Arabidopsis thaliana: one gene and its partners. The protein of the gene in region 3 interacts with the protein of the main gene of each other region in a pairwise test. Each region holds a gene or a part of one and is shown on either strand. Other genes may lie near its edges. The genes, in order: AT1G54540, AT3G22060 and AOX2.

Evidence for each region.
Region 1: the proteins of AOX2 (region 3) and AT1G54540 interact in a protein complementation assay, tested with the Arabidopsis thaliana proteins (one large-scale study listed by BioGRID).
Region 2: the proteins of AOX2 (region 3) and AT3G22060 interact in a protein complementation assay, tested with the Arabidopsis thaliana proteins (one large-scale study listed by BioGRID).

Annotation. Positions count from the first base shown.
Region 1 is NC_003070.9:20,365,931-20,371,500, reverse strand, and holds AT1G54540 (Late embryogenesis abundant (LEA) hydroxyproline-rich glycoprotein family), read left to right. Parts: upstream 1-2,989; 5' UTR 2,990-3,079; coding exon 3,080-3,799; 3' UTR 3,800-3,948; downstream 3,949-5,570. Other genes in the region: AT1G54550 (F-box and associated interaction domains-containing protein), read right to left, coding at 724-1,812; AT1G54530 (Calcium-binding EF hand family protein), read right to left, coding at 4,613-4,996.
Region 2 is NC_003074.8:7,768,058-7,774,170, reverse strand, and holds AT3G22060 (Receptor-like protein kinase-related family protein), read right to left. Parts: upstream 3,273-6,113; 5' UTR 3,107-3,272; coding exon 2,780-3,106; intron 2,466-2,779; coding exon 2,034-2,465; 3' UTR 1,814-2,033; downstream 1-1,813. Other genes in the region: AT3G22057 (cysteine-rich repeat secretory protein), read right to left, coding at 3,910-4,170, 4,481-4,540, 4,622-4,825; AT3G22053 (cysteine-rich repeat secretory protein), read right to left, coding at 5,872-5,945, 6,056-6,096.
Region 3 is NC_003076.8:25,683,270-25,689,873, forward strand, and holds AOX2 (alternative oxidase 2), read right to left. Parts: upstream 2,463-6,604; 5' UTR 2,396-2,462; coding exon 2,203-2,395; intron 2,116-2,202; coding exon 1,925-2,115; intron 1,837-1,924; coding exon 1,708-1,836; intron 1,487-1,707; coding exon 998-1,486; intron 756-997; coding exon 696-755; 3' UTR 501-695; downstream 1-500. Other genes in the region: SC35 (serine/arginine-rich splicing factor-like protein, putative), read right to left, coding at 35-113, 209-284; AT5G64220 (Calmodulin-binding transcription activator protein with CG-1 and Ankyrin domain), read left to right, coding at 3,165-3,204, 3,513-3,632, 3,895-4,010, 4,164-4,252, 4,658-4,700, 4,852-4,984, 5,126-5,248, 5,332-5,591 and 2 more. UniProt on the Arabidopsis thaliana protein: Catalyzes the cyanide-resistant oxidation of ubiquinol and the reduction of molecular oxygen to water, but does not translocate protons and consequently is not linked to oxidative phosphorylation.

The DNA of each region.
Region 1 (5,570 bases), on a different chromosome or scaffold from region 3:
TCAGAAATTATACCGTGCCACTTTTTTTTGTTTTGTTTGCAACATATTTTTCGGATCATGTATGAACTGCAAAGCAAATGTGCTGCAAAACATTTCAACATAAGTCTGTATAAAGAAAGCTGTTAAAAATAGTAAACTAAATTTTCCACGACTAAAATAAGTTCCAAAACAGTATACATACAAAAGATCTGGATTTATCGAACAAGCATATCTGGATAAGTTTTTTTTTTTGTTTTAGTTTCAAACTTGTCTAATTACCTCCTTTGACTTTCATAAGCATTCATAAACAAGTTTGAAATGGAATCAAATTGTTTTCCAATGGAGCTGTCATTGAATTGGATATAATGTCTAAGACCATTCAGTAAGCCCGAACTTTGCAAGAACTTTAAAATTGACCAATGCTAACTGAAAACTATCGTCTCGGATTTATAAATAGTAGTCACTCTCCTTCATATTAATTATAATTCAAGTCTTGCAATTTATGTAGCTGATCCCTCATGCATGCATTTGTTATAAAAACTTTGTTACTCTCTATAGATTAATTCCTGAAAACCCTAGATAAACTGTTCTCTGGTGATCTTTAGAACTAAAAGCAGTCTTGTTCAAAGCAAGAAACAAAAAAATCAGCCTTCATAGAAAATGAAACTTCTATCAACTATTTCTTCAACCTAAAAGCAGTCTTGTTCAACGCAAAAAACAAATAAAATGTTTAAAGAAAACGGACTAATCTTGCAGTTGCACTAAACTTGGAACATAAGAAGAGCTCACAAGTTGGCAAGATTGCAGCTGTGAATTGAAAACTAGTTCGATGTTGACAGCTTTGAAGTATCCACTATCTCCAACGATGCAAGCTCTCTGGTAGTACTGACAGGTCTCACGTCCTCTATATCTGTTTGTACCGAAAAGCACAGCGACCTTCTTCTCCTCATCGAAGAAAAAGCTCGTAGCATAAGAGTGAACAAAAAAGTTATCCGGTAAACCATTGATTAGTGTCATATCAATTCTCAAAAAAGTGGTCCATGATACTGCACTGGGATCAATCTTAGTCGAAATACAAATCTCTATTGTGCCAAATCTGTTGAGGTGGCTGTATAACACAGCGAGTTTCTCATTTCTAACACAAGATAGAGTCAAATATTCAAAACGACGAGATGGAGGTTTAAACAGCATAGGCAAACGTGGTCCCTTTCGACCAAAAAAGTAAGTATTTCCCTTCAAAGACACGCTATTGTGACTAAACAGTTCATGCCAATCTATATCAATATCAAGAACCCTCCATGAATCAGAGCTAAAATCGTAAACATCAATAATGACGTTTCTTGGACTCCCCTCATAAAGAAACCTCAAAATTTTGTGGTTACGGTTGTTGTCGTATCCAAGAGCAAACTTGTCATATCTGTGGAGTTTTTTTCTTGGTTGAATCAATTTCGTCTGCCCTAAATACGGATTCCATACCATAACACTCGAGTTGTCTTTGGCGATGCATAACAATAAGCCATCACAGTGATAGACTTGAGATATCTCGACTTGATCAACTTTATTAGGTATACTTATTTGCTTTATAGATAGATCAATCAAATCTTCTTCGCTACGGATTCCTTGAAGATCTAATCTCAAAGAACAAACCCTAGAATCTGTAACCATGAACTCCAAGAACTGATTCTTTGCTGCTGCTTTTTTACCTAAGATGTCATATTTCGATATAGCGTTCCACTTTTTACAAGTAGATCTCACTGCTCTTAGAGATGTCAATGGAACCCTAGAAAATATTTCTCTTACCAAATCATCCGGTAGATCGGTTACTGTCGCCATTCTTCCTCCAAGTTTTCAGCTTTCTCCACAAGTTTAATGTCTCATTGACCTATTCGGTACCCTAATATGTTTGTATATGTGTTTTGGTTGGGCTTGTAATAAAGTTTTGCTTTGGCACAGATTTTTTAAATGGGCCTATTATTTGGAAAAAAATAAACCATCGAATCCTTAACTATATCATATGGTAAAATTACGAAATCGTTTAGCAACTGATTTTCAGTTTTACTTAAAAACTACGAAGCTCTTGATTTAGTTCGTAGAGTGCACCACCACATATTTAGTAATCTCTTTATAGATCAGATGATATGTGACTAACATAAATTTCCAGAGTAGATGAGTGATGACTATATATTAATTGGGAAACTTTGACATCTATCACTTTTACGATTCCATTTCTCAAAATAAACTACTAAAGACTTTTTTTTTAAAAGGATGCAAAAGAATCCTAAGATAGAGTGTTTTGAGAAGTCTATTAGCCCATGGAACTAGAGTTTTAGCTAGCAAAAGCATATAAATTTATGGTTAGAACATCCATGGAAGGTAACTTTGTTTGAGAGTTGTCCTCTCAAAACAACTCTCTTCCTTCATCTTAATAAGAGTATCAATTTCGAATCATAGTGTTCTTGGTGACAACGAAGTAATATTTTCTCTATCAGTACCCTTGCATCATAAAGTTTTAATAATCTATCTAAGTTCTTAGTTTCTATCTTAATAAGTTTGAATCTTTCTTCTTTTGAGATTGCTTACAAAAAAATCATTCAAGAATCAATTTATAAAACCTTATATAACTTTATAAATATTTTCTATAAAATGTATTTAAAGAAATTATAAATCCTTTTGTGGTGTTTTTGAAAAAAAAAATTAGTGATAGTTATGAAATGTATCATAAAAATTGTAGTTTTCAAATTCTTCCTCAAGAATTTGATTATACGGGTTGTTGCTGAACATAGAGATGAACAAAAAGAAGATATGTGTTGAAAACATTGGAATGTTGCCAAAGTCGTCATCCTAACTAAACCAATATACCGAATGATTTATTGTTTTTGTTTTATTATCGAATTAAATACAAAAAGATTACTGTAACTGTTGAACAACCTCTAGTCTTTCTAATATATTCTGATTAATTCAACGTTATAGGTGAGGAAGGTAAGATGTTGGTAAAAGTCATGCATGGAAACAACTTCACAAGACAAAACTTTGATATAAAATAAAGTACATATAATACATGTTGGTGCATTAGTATTACTAAATACAAAGTTGTAGATCCATGGGAGATCAACAAAAAATTCACCCGGTTCTTCAAATGGAAGCCAACAAGACGAAGACAACAACACCAGCTCCCGGAAAGACAGTCTTGCTTCCGGTTCAACGGCCGATTCCGCCTCCTGTTATTCCTAGTAAGAATCGAAATATGTGCTGCAAAATCTTTTGTTGGGTGTTAAGCCTTCTAGTCATTGCATTGATCGCGTTAGCAATTGCGGTTGCGGTTGTATACTTTGTTTTCCACCCTAAACTCCCGAGTTACGAAGTCAACAGTTTACGAGTTACCAACCTTGGAATCAATCTAGACCTCTCTCTTTCCGCGGAGTTTAAAGTCGAGATCACAGCTCGTAATCCCAACGAAAAGATTGGGATTTATTACGAGAAAGGAGGTCATATCGGTGTGTGGTACGACAAGACAAAGCTATGTGAAGGCCCTATACCGAGGTTTTATCAAGGACATCGCAATGTAACTAAACTAAATGTGGCTCTAACGGGAAGAGCGCAATATGGGAACACTGTCTTGGCGGCATTGCAGCAGCAACAACAAACAGGACGTGTACCGTTAGATCTTAAAGTGAATGCACCTGTCGCCATCAAACTCGGAAATCTGAAGATGAAGAAGATTCGGATATTGGGGAGTTGTAAGCTTGTTGTTGATAGTTTATCAACGAACAATAATATCAACATCAAAGCTAGTGATTGCAGTTTTAAGGCCAAACTCTGAGATGTTCTTAGATCTAGGCGCTTTTACTTTTTATTGGTGTTAATTACTCAATTCATCATTTTCTTATGCATTTGATTCATATTTTGGATTAATGGTTTTATTCTCAATAAAAGATTGATTTTTATTTTTTAAATTACGAGAGATTTTTGAAATTTCAAAATATTGCAAATGAATGGTTCTTTTCCGCTTAACATAATTTCTATGAAGTAGTCGGAACGAGACTCTCTTCTAGAGAGAGAGAGAGTCATTCAGGAACCGACGTGCTTACATGGGAAAAAAACCTATTGCGATCTCATGTCTTTTTCCAAGGCAATCGATCCGCACATTAAAACGACGAGAAAGAAAATTAATACTAGAAGAGGGAAAAAAACATACAAGGGAACCAAATGTCGTCATCTCAACTACAAATGTTGGCTACACTGAAAGTTTTTCAATAGAGATAAGATCTTCACGGTCGAAAGCAAAAGAGCAACTCGTAACACCTATCGAGATTATAAATTCTATTGCCCATAGCATGGAATCAACTTCAGCATGAATGGTTTGGTAGTGTGAATCACATCTATACTATTTTTTCAATGGTAAAACTTTCGAAAATTACAATAGAATTGAAATATAAAATTTCGAGAAAATTCAAACGATCTCGAGTTTAATTCATCCCAAGTAAAAAAAGAAGTAAAAATCGAAGAAATTACAATGTAATCATTATCAATTAACAACATTAATTCATGTATATAAAATTCAAACATAACCAAATTATAAATCAAATTTTCCCAAAAGAAAAATAAAAAGCTCTAAATGCTTTAAAAAATCTCATCACTTGCCTTGTTTAGATTCATGAAGAACAGCTTTCATAATCAATCCATCATTATGCACAACCATAATCACCGGCGAGTTTCCGATACCTCTCGCCATCGCCGTCAAAATCTCTGCAATCAAATCCCTAAAATTTTTTGGAACCAAATCTTCACCGAATCTCTCGAAAATCGCATTGTACACGTTATCGGTCTCGTCTCCAGGAGCGACCTCAGATTCCACAGCTACCACATTGTTGAGACCTTGACGAAGCTCCGATGGAGACAACATTCCGTTTTTGTCTAGATCTAGAATCTGGAAATAGTCGTTGGTTATGGATTCGAATGATTTTGTATCGGAAAGGAATCCGATTAGAGTTTTGCTTGTGATTACTGTTTCGATCATCGTAGAATTCTCGAATTCGTGTTTTGAGATCTGAATTTGGAAAAAGTCTCTTTGAATTTTTTTGTTTTTCTTTGATGTTTGGTTAAATGATGCTACAAGATTCGATAACGTAGTAATATGTTGCGTGCATGTTTTGCCACAGAGAATATAAGCTACCTTTTAAAATTATGAGTTTTTTTTTTTTGGTTTTGTTTTTTGTTTTTTCTTGTTGATTTTATTTTTAAGCTTGAAAATTATATGATTTTAATGTTAATTTTCTGATAACTATGTAAATGTCTTCACATTTACAGTTTTAGTTTGCATATACACCTATTTTTTTTTAGAAGATTTTGTGTAGTTAGTTAAAATGATTTTACATGTTGAGTATAACAATGAATTTTTATTTCCTTACGAAATATTGATGATATTACAAAGTTTTTAAGTTAGACAAAAGTTTTTGATTTCACAAATACTAAATGCATCATTAATGGTATCAAATTTGATTCTTAATTGCCTTCATTTCCGGTTTAGGTAACCGGTCATAGAGGTTTGTGGTATAAAAACAAAGTTATGGTGTGTTTTACACTTTACAGAG
Region 2 (6,113 bases), on a different chromosome or scaffold from region 3:
TACATTTGATGGTTTGTCTTTCCCATATAATGTTCTTTTTGTCCCTATGTTTTTTTTTTTCATTTTTTAATATTTTCCTTTTAGTTCCAACATTATATAAACCTGTTCCCTCTTATGTATGTTAATCTAATAAATTTGCTAATCATTATTTCAAACTACACTTAAAATTTTTAAGATAAAATAGGTTACTAGTTTAAAGTTTAAAACTTCGAACGAATAATTTATATATTTTAAAATATTTCTAGAATGGTTGAAGATATGATAGAAAAAGTACATTAAAATATTTTGATTTATTGGTCTAATTTTGATAAATTTGCTTTAAACCTGTAGACCAATTGGACTGAGACTGACTATGGCAAGCTGGCCAGTGGCCACCTAAAAAAAGAACTTTTAAGGTTATGAGTGCCGATATCTACAAGGAAGACAAGACTTATATAACTTGCTCTGATCTCTAGATTACATGGGTCAGACCTTGATTACCAAAAGAAAAACGTCTGCCTCTCTGTACCATTAAAATATCTAGCTCTGGAGAACAAATCATTGAGTTTTTAATTCAATAAATACTAATAGTTTGATTTTATGCTTATTATAAGAGATTCACATCTGATTAACACTAGCTCTGTTGACCGATCCCTAAGTTTCGGACTCGAGGAGTGACAGCAACCTTACCATTTGAACATGATTTGTATAGTTATCAAGTCAAACTTTAAGTATACGGAAGTGCGTATAGGCTTATCTTTGATTTGACCAATGATGGGGGACAAACAATTTTATTGTTTCGTAATTCTTAATGAGCAGTCCTTTAAACTTTGAAAATATAGGTCCTTAATATCAATAGAATTAGAATTTAGTTTAATGTTGTCCTTTTCATATAGGGTTTCTATATTTGTATCTTGCATTCTTATTTTTGTCCTGAGTGTACGATTTTATCCGAAAACTGTGAGAATTTTTTCAGAATATTATGCGGGATTTTCGTGGTAGTGGTCGCCGCTTACGCACAAAGAAAGGATTGGGAAAAAGCGAAGGAGCAACGTGGTTCTCCTCCTTCGTTGACCTGTCTTCATCGCAATGACTCAGCATAGCACATGTGACCAATATCTTCTCCTAGTTATCCGTTGACGTTTAAAATCTTTTAGTCAACAAACCAATCAGCACCTCATAATGTAAAACATTTTCTGAGTCTCTCATATATACTTTGATGAAATTTAGATTTTCTATCCAAAAGCATTTTTTTTTTTTTAAATCTAGGAGGTTTTGGGTTGAAGTCCGTAATCCCAGACCCGAAACCACATTATGTAACATTAGTTTTGTTCTAAATGTCATTCGAACCGGCGACCTCTAAGCTTTGCGTAGGATCTTTACGAATTGAGCTAACGACACTTGGTTCTATCCAAAAACATTAACATAACTAAACTTGATTAGAAGACAAATATATGTAAATGAACTTAGAAAATCAAGACGACTTCCAAAAAAAAAAAATTAATGATTTTTTGGTCAAGTTTATAGCAATACGACACATTACTGGTGTGTTTTTATTTATTTACATACAGTATATTTCCAGGTTTCTGTCAAATATATTTTTCAAAACTATTGATACAAACAGAAAAAAATAAAGAGTTTTTGCATTTACTATTTTTTTTTAAATGGTTGGCACACAAATTGTCAATATAAACATATATATTGAAAAATGTTTTGTGTTTTTAACATCAATTAAAATTTGAAGTAGTAGACAAATAGATTTCCCTTTGAAACAGTTGAATCTGCCATACAGTCTAAGCATTATGAACGATGATATTTGCTTCTGTGGGTTGTGGTTCAAGTCTAGAAAATATTTGGCAAAGGGAATGTTTTTATTTATAGGAGTCAAGCCTCTATAATCGTGTCTATCGTACAAATAACCCACAAAGAGAAGATTACATTTTACTGGCTCAACACATTATACAAACAACAACATACAATACATATCACATTGACAATAATCACAAATTAAGACCGTGTTTGGCATTGGACCCCCTTTTAACTTGGACCTCTAATCAAGCAGTCTTAACAAAAGGGTAAATCTCATACCTAAAGTTACAGCTCCCACCCACAACTCTCCCTCCTTCTTTACCGTCGCAACAGTTAGGAAGCTCCCCAATAATTCCATTTAAACACGCCTTACAAGTAATACTCTTCAAGTCCCTCGTACATTGCACTAGTCCGTACAATTTATTCTTTCCGATATTTTTCTCTCCTGTCGCAAATAGCTTCTGGTTATCTCTAGTAGTCGCTTTCTTTGTCAGCTCGGTTAAAAGAGCTTTCGTCTGCGAGTTGAATGTTGATGGATCACTCACATTTTTGACGTTGTACAAATAGAACCTGTTCTCGAAATCTATCTTCCCGAAGAAATTGGTCGAGGAATACTTTACAAGACAGTTGTCATACCATACTATTCCCGCCTTGTTGTTCGGACATCTCTGACGTAGCTGTCATATGTGACACCAACGTCAAGAACCATCATTGAACTCGATATACTATTTATGCTTCTCTTGCCGTTCCAATATATAATATCTTTTTTTCCAACTATTTTTTATCAATAGAATAGCATTTTTCCAAATGAAATTTAGCCAGTCTCTAATTATAGATTGTAGTTTCAAAAAAGAAAAGGGTATGAATTAAAAAATTGGCATTAGAAATGTAAATAAACTAATTATAACCTAGTTTTGTTTTGTACTTAATCTGCGGTTTCTATATATATCACTAAGATGTAGAAAAACTTATGTAAATATTGTGTGGTTACCTCGGGGATGGCAGTCTCAAGACAAGAGCGGCAGTCAGAGGAGGAGGCATCACCGCGGCAAAGGGCCAAACCGTTGACGTTGTTTGGAGTGTTGCCAGTGGAGGAGGCGGCAAAACCGGTGGATGGAACTTTGTAAGAGAGCTGACTAAAGAGATTGTTGAGATTTGACTCGTAGAGACTTTTTGAGGTAAAGCTTCCTTCGATGTCTGAGCACTTGTGGAAGAGAAACGCATTGTTCTGGCTTTGAGACAAAACGGTATGTATAGAGAGAATTTGTATGGCTATGGCCAAGATAGGGAACCAAACGATGCGTTTTAATGAAGACATTGTTTTGGAAGAAAATTGATATTTTGTGGAGGGTGTCTTTTTTTTTTTTGATAGAAGAAGTGTTGAGGTAAGGATGTTTTATAGAGTGGCTAGATGATTTTGGTCTTTGGGTGGTGAGACAAGTTATTTATTTATTTAATAAATATTAGAATGGGTTGAAGTTTTCATTTTTGTACAATTGGGATTTGGTCATTTTCCAATCACGAGAGTTCCTTTGAACAAAAAAGAAGTCAATTTAGCTGATTGGCTAAGATGAAGCAATTATGTCAAAACAACAATTTTTTGTCCCATTTGATCCAACTTTCATTTCAAGCTTCTAGATGAAATTAGAAATGTAAAGTAGAGGGCCATGAGTTGAGGGGAACTTGGTATTGCGGTGAATGAAAAAGTCAACATTCAAAGGTTTGACTGAGTGAAACTAAGATATGTACGGTGTGGACATAAATTCTTTTTTTTTAAATGTATTTTATCTAAATGATAATTTTCTCCCTTTAACTGCTCAAATATATTAAATCAATTTTTTTTTTTGTTCTTTTTCTTGTTTGAGGGTTTTCACTAATTTAAAAGGGATTTATACATTATATTATTTCAAACCAAAAAAGTTTTGACTTGTAACCAAAAATAAAACAAAATTAAGAAAACAAAACCAAACAAAATAGGAAAGTTGTCAAGAGATTGTCTTCTACATCATCATCGACCAAACAAACTTTTAACTCCTAAGAAAAGGGTATAGCTCATACCTAAGAGTACACTCTGTTCCCAAAACTCTTGCTCCTTGTTTACCGTGGCAGCACTTGGAAAGCTCATTGATACTCCATTCCAAACAACCCTTTCATCGCAATATGTCTTGCGCACACTGTACCATTGCATACAATTTCTTTGTCCCTAGCTTCTTCTCCCCTGCTGCGTAAAGCATCATTGTCCTGTTGGGTGTAGTGGCTTCCAGCATGAGCTCGTAGAGGAAATCCCTTGTTTTCTTGTTGAACAATTCCGTGTCCTCGATCATGTTGTTTGGGTTGTGCATAGAGAAAACATTCCTTTAATCGTTCTTCCTTGGGGATGATCTGATGGAATTAATGAAGAGAAAACATTGGTCGTACCATATTACTCTTCCTTTGTTCCTCTGACATCTCCTACGAAGCTGCCATATACATACATGTGATTGTTTCATTTTTTGAGTAATGATTTAACTAATCAATGCAAATATATATCTTAACATGCAAGAGATATACATGTTTATATATGTTAAAGATAGATTTGATGATTTAATTTTTAAATATTTGAAATCATACCGAGTAAAATCACAATAGAAAACATTTTTTGGTGTTTCTTTCGATATGCGACGGCTAATTAATAATGCTGAAGTGACATTACCCCGGAAAGGGCGGTGGCATAGCAGGAGAGGCACTTGGAGTCGTAGGAGTCGCCGCGGCACTGTAGTATGATGGCGACAAAACTGGGAGCTTCGCCATAAGAGATGTGTATGAAGCCGGTTGGAAAATTATAGGATAAGACTTCACGGGTGAGAAAGTTGAGGTTGTCCTCGTACTTATCTCCAGGCCTATATTTCCCTTGACTGACGAGGCATTTGTGGTTAAGATAGTCATTGGTAAGGTTCAGTGACGAGACACTGCGTATGAGAAGGAGTTGTATAGCCAAGATAGGGATAGAAACAAGACGTTTGGATAAAGAATATGAAGAGTACATTGTTTTGTTCATATAAGAAGACTCAGAAGGAGTTTTTAGCTGATTGGTCTCATTAGTAACTAGATTAACTATATATCTCAAAACAATATTCTTGTTTACAAAATTTGATTGATCACTTTAGATTGAAGAAGAAATATTTTTCCTTGTTTGTAACAGAATTGAGAGAGGGGTTGTGTATCTTTCGGCGAGAGATGGGGAGGGCCGATGAAAAAGTCAAAAGTAAAAATGTTAAAACTCTTAGAAAATACAAAATAGAATCATATTGTAAACCACTTGTTCGATATGATTTTGGCTCTCGGGATTTTGCTAAACTGTATCATGGCAATTATCTCATCTTCCATGCTTACTGATTAATTGATTAGACCATGTATATTTTGGATATTCATTCGGTTTTCAATTCAGTTTCGTTTTTTTGGATATAAGAATTTTAAAAAATCAATTCGAGTATTTGTGTCGGTTCTGCTTCAATTTGATGCCTCCGTTGCTGTTCTTTTCTTCGGGTACGAGTATTTTGTCAAGTTCTAGTTATAAGCATGATACGTGAGAAAAGACTAGCTACTCATTTTTAAATAAAAAATGATATTATTTGTATATATTTATTTGTTAATTCTGTTTTGAGTCACTAATCTTGTAAAACTATTAGTCAAAACGATACATAAGGAAGTTTATATTCAAATAATGTTTTAGAGATAGGTGTGACCTAAACAAACAAAGCAGGGAAGCTAAGCTAAACAATACCAAACAAACAAAGTGGGAGATAGGCAAAAACAAAAAAAAACAAAAAAAATGGGAAAGTAAACAAACCAAAATTACAATTGGAAGAGTTCATGTGTTATGCATCATCATCAAAGAGTCCTTAAGTCGAAAGAAAAGGGTATAGCTCATACCTAATATTACAGCTCGTACCCAAAAATCTTGCTCCTTTTTTACTATGGCAGCACTTGGAAAGCTCATTGATACTCCATTCCAAACAAACTTTACATTCAAATATGTCTAGAGCACACTGCACCATTGCATACAAGTTTTTCGTCCCAAGCCTCATTTCACCAGCCGCATAACTACCGGCTTTTGGGTTTATCAGCTTTCAGCATCAGATTGTAGAGGAAATCCCTAGTCTTTTTGTTGAACGACTCTGCATCCTCGTTAACGTTGTTTTGGTTGTGCATAGAGAAAGTATTCTCATAATCGATCATCGTTGGTGGAGAATTGATCGTACTAATATCGAGAAAACATTGGTCTTACCATATAATTGCTCCCTTGTATCCTTGACATCTCCTACGAATCTGTCATATACAATTCA
Region 3 (6,604 bases):
AATTCCTCAGTCGGAGAAGAAGAAGAAATTGGACCTTCGATCTCTGGGAATAAACACATCAACGACCTTTCCATACTTTGCGAATAGAGGATAGAGATCATCAGCAGTCGTACCTACACATAACAACAAAACCTAATCTCTTAGAAACCCCCAGTTCACGAAAATTGATTAGAGGTTGAGAAACAGAAATAGGGACTTGAGAGATTACGGAAGGTGATGTTAAGGACGAGAAGTGAGTAGGTGTCGCTGATATCCGGTGGACCTGACCTTCCGAAGTGCGACATGGTTTTCCCGCCGGCGGAGAAATTGGGAGCGCGAGAGAGAGACGAAGTGAAATTAGGTTAAAGCTTTTCTGAAACAATGGAATCTACTAGATACGGGGACATTTTTTTTAAAGCTTGACGTTGTTGTTAATTACATTTGTACCCCTTGACGAAGACACAAAAAAAAGAAGATAATCGAACCGGATGATACCGAGTTTGGTTCGTATCGGTTCAGCAGCGATTGGGACGGTTGAGACGCAATTTTATTATAGTCTGAAACATTTTTACCAAAACAATTCTGCAATTTACAAACACCGGTACATCTCTAACACCTTTAAAACATATTTTAGCACATTCAAACAAATTCATATCCAAAATCATTAAAAAAAACAAACAGAAAAACTCCAAGTAGGATACTCTTTTGAAATTGGTTTAGTGATAACCAATCGGAGCTGCTGCTTCTCGCAACTCTTTTCCTTGATTGCGAATGTCCTGCAAATAACTCACAATATTAACAATTCAAAAACACCACACAACATAACAAATCCACAGATTTTTAAAATTCATTGATTTATATTAAAAACTATGAACTTGTATGTATCCACACACCAAATGTCGTTGATTCTACTACTTATATCATTTGTTATTTTAATATCACCGAAATGGACCCGAAGAAATGTATGAAACTCGGGAGTTTTGGAAAAAAAATAAAAGGGTTGTTGTTTTAGACTCACAGAAGCAAAATGGTTGACATCTCGATGATGAGCTTCATCAGCACGAATCACCGTTACAACATCTTTCAACGTAGCATCTTTAGGCAATCTCCAATAATCAATAGCAATCGCGGGCGCGGCAACATTCTCGATCTTCCCATTGTCGATATCTTTAAGAAACTCGGTGTAAGAATGTATAGCTTCTTCCTCTAAATATCCAACGACCCTATGAGCTAACCGCGGGGAAATCACGTAACAAACGAAAAAAGAGTTGAAGAATATTCCTTGAACAAGCATCACTAGAAGACGCTCGTACCATTTGGGTTTGACTAACTCCATCATCGTCATTAGATGCATCCTCTCGTTCTCTGCTTCTTCGAGTAATGCTTTGATCCAACCGCCGCTATGTTCGAATTTTCGGATTGATTTTAGGTGAAGAAGCATTCCTCCAACCATTCCTGGTACTGCAGCTACTGTCTCTAGCATCATCGCTCTGCATCCATATCGTCTCTGCTGACCAAACATATATTTAACATTAAGGAACAAAAAATGTAAAACATTAGCATGTGAAGTGAAACAGTGAATCCATACGTATGTATATATGTGAATCATGGTAGGATAATATGTGCATACAAAATTACAAACCAAACCAAACCGAATCAGCTAAATAAACCAATGAACATATTAAACGAATCAACGTTTCATTTTAAAATTTGAAATTACAGTCATGCCTGAAAAAATATATCGGTGGGAATACGGAGGAGCTTGACAATCCGGTAAGCGACTTTGTCGGCGATATTCTTCGGAACGTGGTGCTTCTTCAAATCTATCGACAGATTTGCTTGATAAGTCTCCCATGGCTGTTCAAAATATACTTAAGTCATATATCTACTACATATAAAAGAGTGCTTAATTTGTCTACGAACTTTGGGATGTGTATAAGTTTACCATAAAACAGTTCCAAGGCCAATCCGATCCATCTTTCCGAGTAATTTTCATCTTTGCTGTCTCTATTCCCCAATAACTTGGAACCGCTACTGACCCCCCGCCGTTTTGACCCTTCTTTACCGTCAAATTTTCATCTTTCTTCTCCATCGCCGATGCAGAACTCATACCCATCCACCTCAAGTTAAAATTTCCTATTCAAATTTTAGAAATATACAAATCCTAATTATCATGTACAATTGTTATAAGGTTGTATGAGGATCATCTACAGATATGCACACCTTGCACATGCTTAGAGCCGATCTTGAAATCGCCAAAACCGCCGCACCAGTCATGAATTCGCATCGGTGCCGTTATCTCATACGGACTTTTCATAACAGAGGTGGAGGAAACAGAACTCACGAACATGTTACAGTTTCCTCTGCCGCAGACAAGCAGAACTCGTAAAGCTGCTTTCGTAATGAGTTGACTCATCTTACGACACTCTCTCGTATACTTATAGATTCACTTCTCAGATAAGAGGCTTGTTCTCTGACTGAAAGAAAATGATTCAACTCTGTTTTTTCTCGAAAGAAAGTGTAAGTAGGGGAAACAAGAAGGAAATAAAAAATGACGTTATCAGCTGATACGCGGCGAATACTGCTGAATACACGTGGCTCATATCCAACTGTTGCTTTACTTTTAAGATAACTATTTTTAAAAAAACGAATGCACATTTTTTAAGTTTGTCCGAATCTTGAAGTGGCGTTCAGCAGACAGAGCGCACGTGAATCTGGTCTTGACTGAACTGTCCGGTCCAATATCTTTTGGTTTGGTTTAATTCGGATTAATAGATTGTCTCCTTAAGAAAAGTTCCTAAAAGGAACATTAATTATAATTACATTCATGAATCAATTTAGCAAAAGTACACACATTGAATAAAAATTTCATCCACGTGTCCACGTGTAAGGTTTGTATTGGATAAAAATGTTTTGGTTCACTAAATTTATAAAACAACCTCCACCATATCGGCGCTTTCCTTCCGATTTCGTCCTCCCCCAGAAAATAGAGAGGAAAAAAGGAAAAAAAGTAATCATCGATTCGCTTTCACAACCTGGAAAGCTCGAAAAGAGGAAAAAAATTCTAAAGAGCTTATCAAGCTCACTTCATACACCTAGATCGATTTAGGGTTCGTTTGATTTTTTTTTTTCTGTGATTGCGACAGCTAGAGATCTATCTCTGGTGGATTTTGGGTTTATGTTCCATGGCGGATCGCGGATCTTTCGGATTTGCTCCTCGATTAGGTCTCTCTACCATTTCGCCATATCTAGGGTTTTTGCTATCTTCCTTTTCGTGTTTTGTACTCCTTTTTAGTTGTTTTGGATCTGATCATTACTAGTTTTTCGTTTTGTTGCATTTTAGTGAAGGGAAGGATTTCTAGCTTGTTGAATTACGATTTATATTTTGCTTCTTAGTTGTTCCCGCTTAAGTTGTATTGCTCTGTTACATTTGATATTTTGATTGATGTTGGTTAGTGCAAGAGAGTGTTAGTGGATGTTTAGCTACAGAGTTGTAGTATCAATGTGTTTCTTACCCTTTTATGAACTTGTAGATATCAAGCAATTGCTGTCAGAAGCACAACACAGGTGGCTGAGACCTGCTGAGATTTGTGAAATTCTTCGGAATCATCAGAAGTTTCATATTGCGTCAGAGCCTCCCAACCGACCACCCAGTATGTTTCTTGCTGATTTTCTTCATTTTTGTTTGCAATATATTCTTATTTTTTGAGCTGTACAATCAATAGATGCTGAATAAGTTACATTAGCTTGGGTTTTATTTCTGTCTTGCTTTAACGAACTTTATGCTTGACGTGTTCACTCCCCCGTTTATCCTGTTAGTCCTGAATAGTTCAGAAGTTTTGCGTGTTGTGTGCCTTGACAATAATTTATTGCGGTTTGTCTTCTCTAATTAACAGAAATTCCCTGCTCTTCTAGGTGGTTCACTCTTTCTCTTCGATAGGAAGGTGCTCAGATATTTCCGAAAAGACGGGCACAATTGGAGGAAGAAGAAAGATGGGAAAACAGTGAAAGAGGCTCACGAAAAGCTGAAGGTTAATATTTCTATTTATGTGTCCTCGTTAAATATTAGTGCAGATTAATGCAATGACCTTGAAACCAATTCCTTGGTTTTACTACTGATTTTTCTAGCTGATAATGCAACATCTCAATGTTAGAGAGTAATAAGATTGTGTAAGTATACACAGGTAGGAAGCATTGATGTGTTACATTGTTACTATGCACATGGAGAAGATAATGAGAACTTCCAGAGGCGGTGCTACTGGATGCTTGAACAGTGAGTCTATCTATGTTTGTCCACATTTCATATGTTTTGCTCTGTTTAGTATCATAAGCGTTAGTTTTTCAGCATTTATGTGCTTTGTATAAAGTGTGCATGGTAGTCTGCTAGTGTCCTGGGAATGGCCTTTTTATTGTATTAGCAGAAAATGAGCTAGAAGGGCTATAGAAAGGAATATTATTATAATTTCCGAGATTCTGCTATAAAACATCAATTTCTAAGTTGTGAGATGAAATCGAGGATAATGTTTATACAAGACAAGACTGAACCAAAGGCATTTCACGTGATCTCTAAAATCCCTATCTTCTGGAATGAAATGTGCTTGTTGGTACTTTTCTTCATTTATTGTCACTTTTCAGTGTTAGTGCTCATGTCCACTGTTTGTGTGTTACATGGATACAGGGATCTGATGCACATTGTTTTCGTTCACTACTTGGAGGTTAAGGTATAGCTTTTGTTTTGTACTGTACTAATATATTCTTAAAATATGAACTTCCATCGCTCAACACTATATCTTCCTTTTTAAGTGGATGCTGTCTTTCCTATGTGTGGTTTTGTTATAGTCATCTTATATTGTACGTCATGCTATTATACAGGGTAACCGAATGAGTACCAGTGGAACTAAAGAAAACCATTCAAATTCTCTGAGTGGCACGGGTTCTGTAAATGTTGATTCCACAGCAACCCGATCCAGCATATTGTCACCATTATGTGAAGATGCTGATTCTGGTATATAATTTCTCTCTTATATAATCTGCTTTAGTATCTTTTTGTTTAAGAGTGTAGATCTTTCAGTGATGAGACTTTGTGGTTGATTGTATTGCTGCTCGTGGTTCTGCTTCAACACAAACTAATATCATTTTGACGCAGGGGATAGTCGTCAAGCAAGTTCCAGTTTGCAACAAAATCCTGAACCTCAAACTGTTGTTCCTCAGATTATGCATCATCAGAATGCTAGCACAATCAATTCTTACAATACAACCTCTGTTTTGGGTACTTCATTTGCTTTCTGTTTTACAAGCTTCCTTGCCTTACCAAATTCCTGCATGTTTGCTGAGATTGTCTTCTCTTCCTAGGAAATCGAGATGGTTGGACGTCAGCTCATGGGAACAGGGTCAAAGGAAGTAACTCCCAAAGATCAGGTGATGTCCCAGCATGGGATGCTTCCTTTGAGAATTCATTGGCAAGATACCAGAATCTACCTTATAATGCTCCGTTGACTCAGACACAGCCTTCTACTTTTGGTTTGATCCCCATGGAAGGGAAAACAGAGAAAGGTTCCCTGTTAACGTCAGAGCATCTTAGAAATCCTCTTCAAAGTCAAGTAAATTGGCAGGTGATATATGCTTGCTTATAGCTAAGCTATTCATTTTAAATCTAAGTAGGATTTGTGCCTATGTTTGTATTATGGTGCCACTGTTTAATTTGTTTACTTAATCATTCAAGCATGAATTTTCTCATCATGAATGTTGGTTCTTTGAAAATATCTGATTTTGAGTTTCTCTTCTCTATAGACTCCTGTTCAGGAAAGCGTGCCATTGCAAAAATGGCCCATGGATTCGCATTCTGGAATGACTGATGCTACTGATCTTGCCTTATTTGGGCAAGGAGCACATGAAAATTTTGGGACATTTTCCAGTCTTCTTGGTAGTCAAGATCAACAGTCTAGTAGTTTCCAAGCTCCTTTCACAAATAATGAAGCAGCATATATACCTAAATTAGGCCCCGAGGATCTTATATATGAAGCAAGTGCAAATCAAACACTACCTCTTAGAAAAGCATTGTTAAAAAAAGAGGATAGTTTGAAAAAGGTTGACAGTTTCTCTCGGTGGGTTAGTAAAGAACTTGGGGAGATGGAAGACTTGCAGATGCAATCTTCATCTGGAGGTATTGCATGGACTTCTGTTGAATGTGAAAACGCAGCAGCTGGGTCTTCCTTAAGTCCTTCTCTGTCCGAGGATCAGCGCTTCACTATGATCGACTTTTGGCCCAAATGGACTCAGACAGACTCAGAAGTTGAGGTAATTTTTAGTGTTATTTTTGAAAAAATGGTTTTGTGGTGTAGCATTCAGTTAAGATGGTCTTTGGCTAATCCAATTTGCCAAACTTAAATGAAGATTTTTTTTTCGTATAACACCTTTGATAATCAATCTTTCTGCAAGTAGTAAGCCTGTATACGTTTAGGAACAGTACTTTCTTTCTGCTGTTCTGCTCTGTTTCTTCCTATTTTTGAGCTCTTTGGCTTTGGAAGTTTGTTAGGAGATAACTCCTTTCTCATCTACCATTTTAATTTTCGAACAGGTAATGGTTATCGGGACATTTCTGTTGAGTCCTCAGGAAGTAACTAGC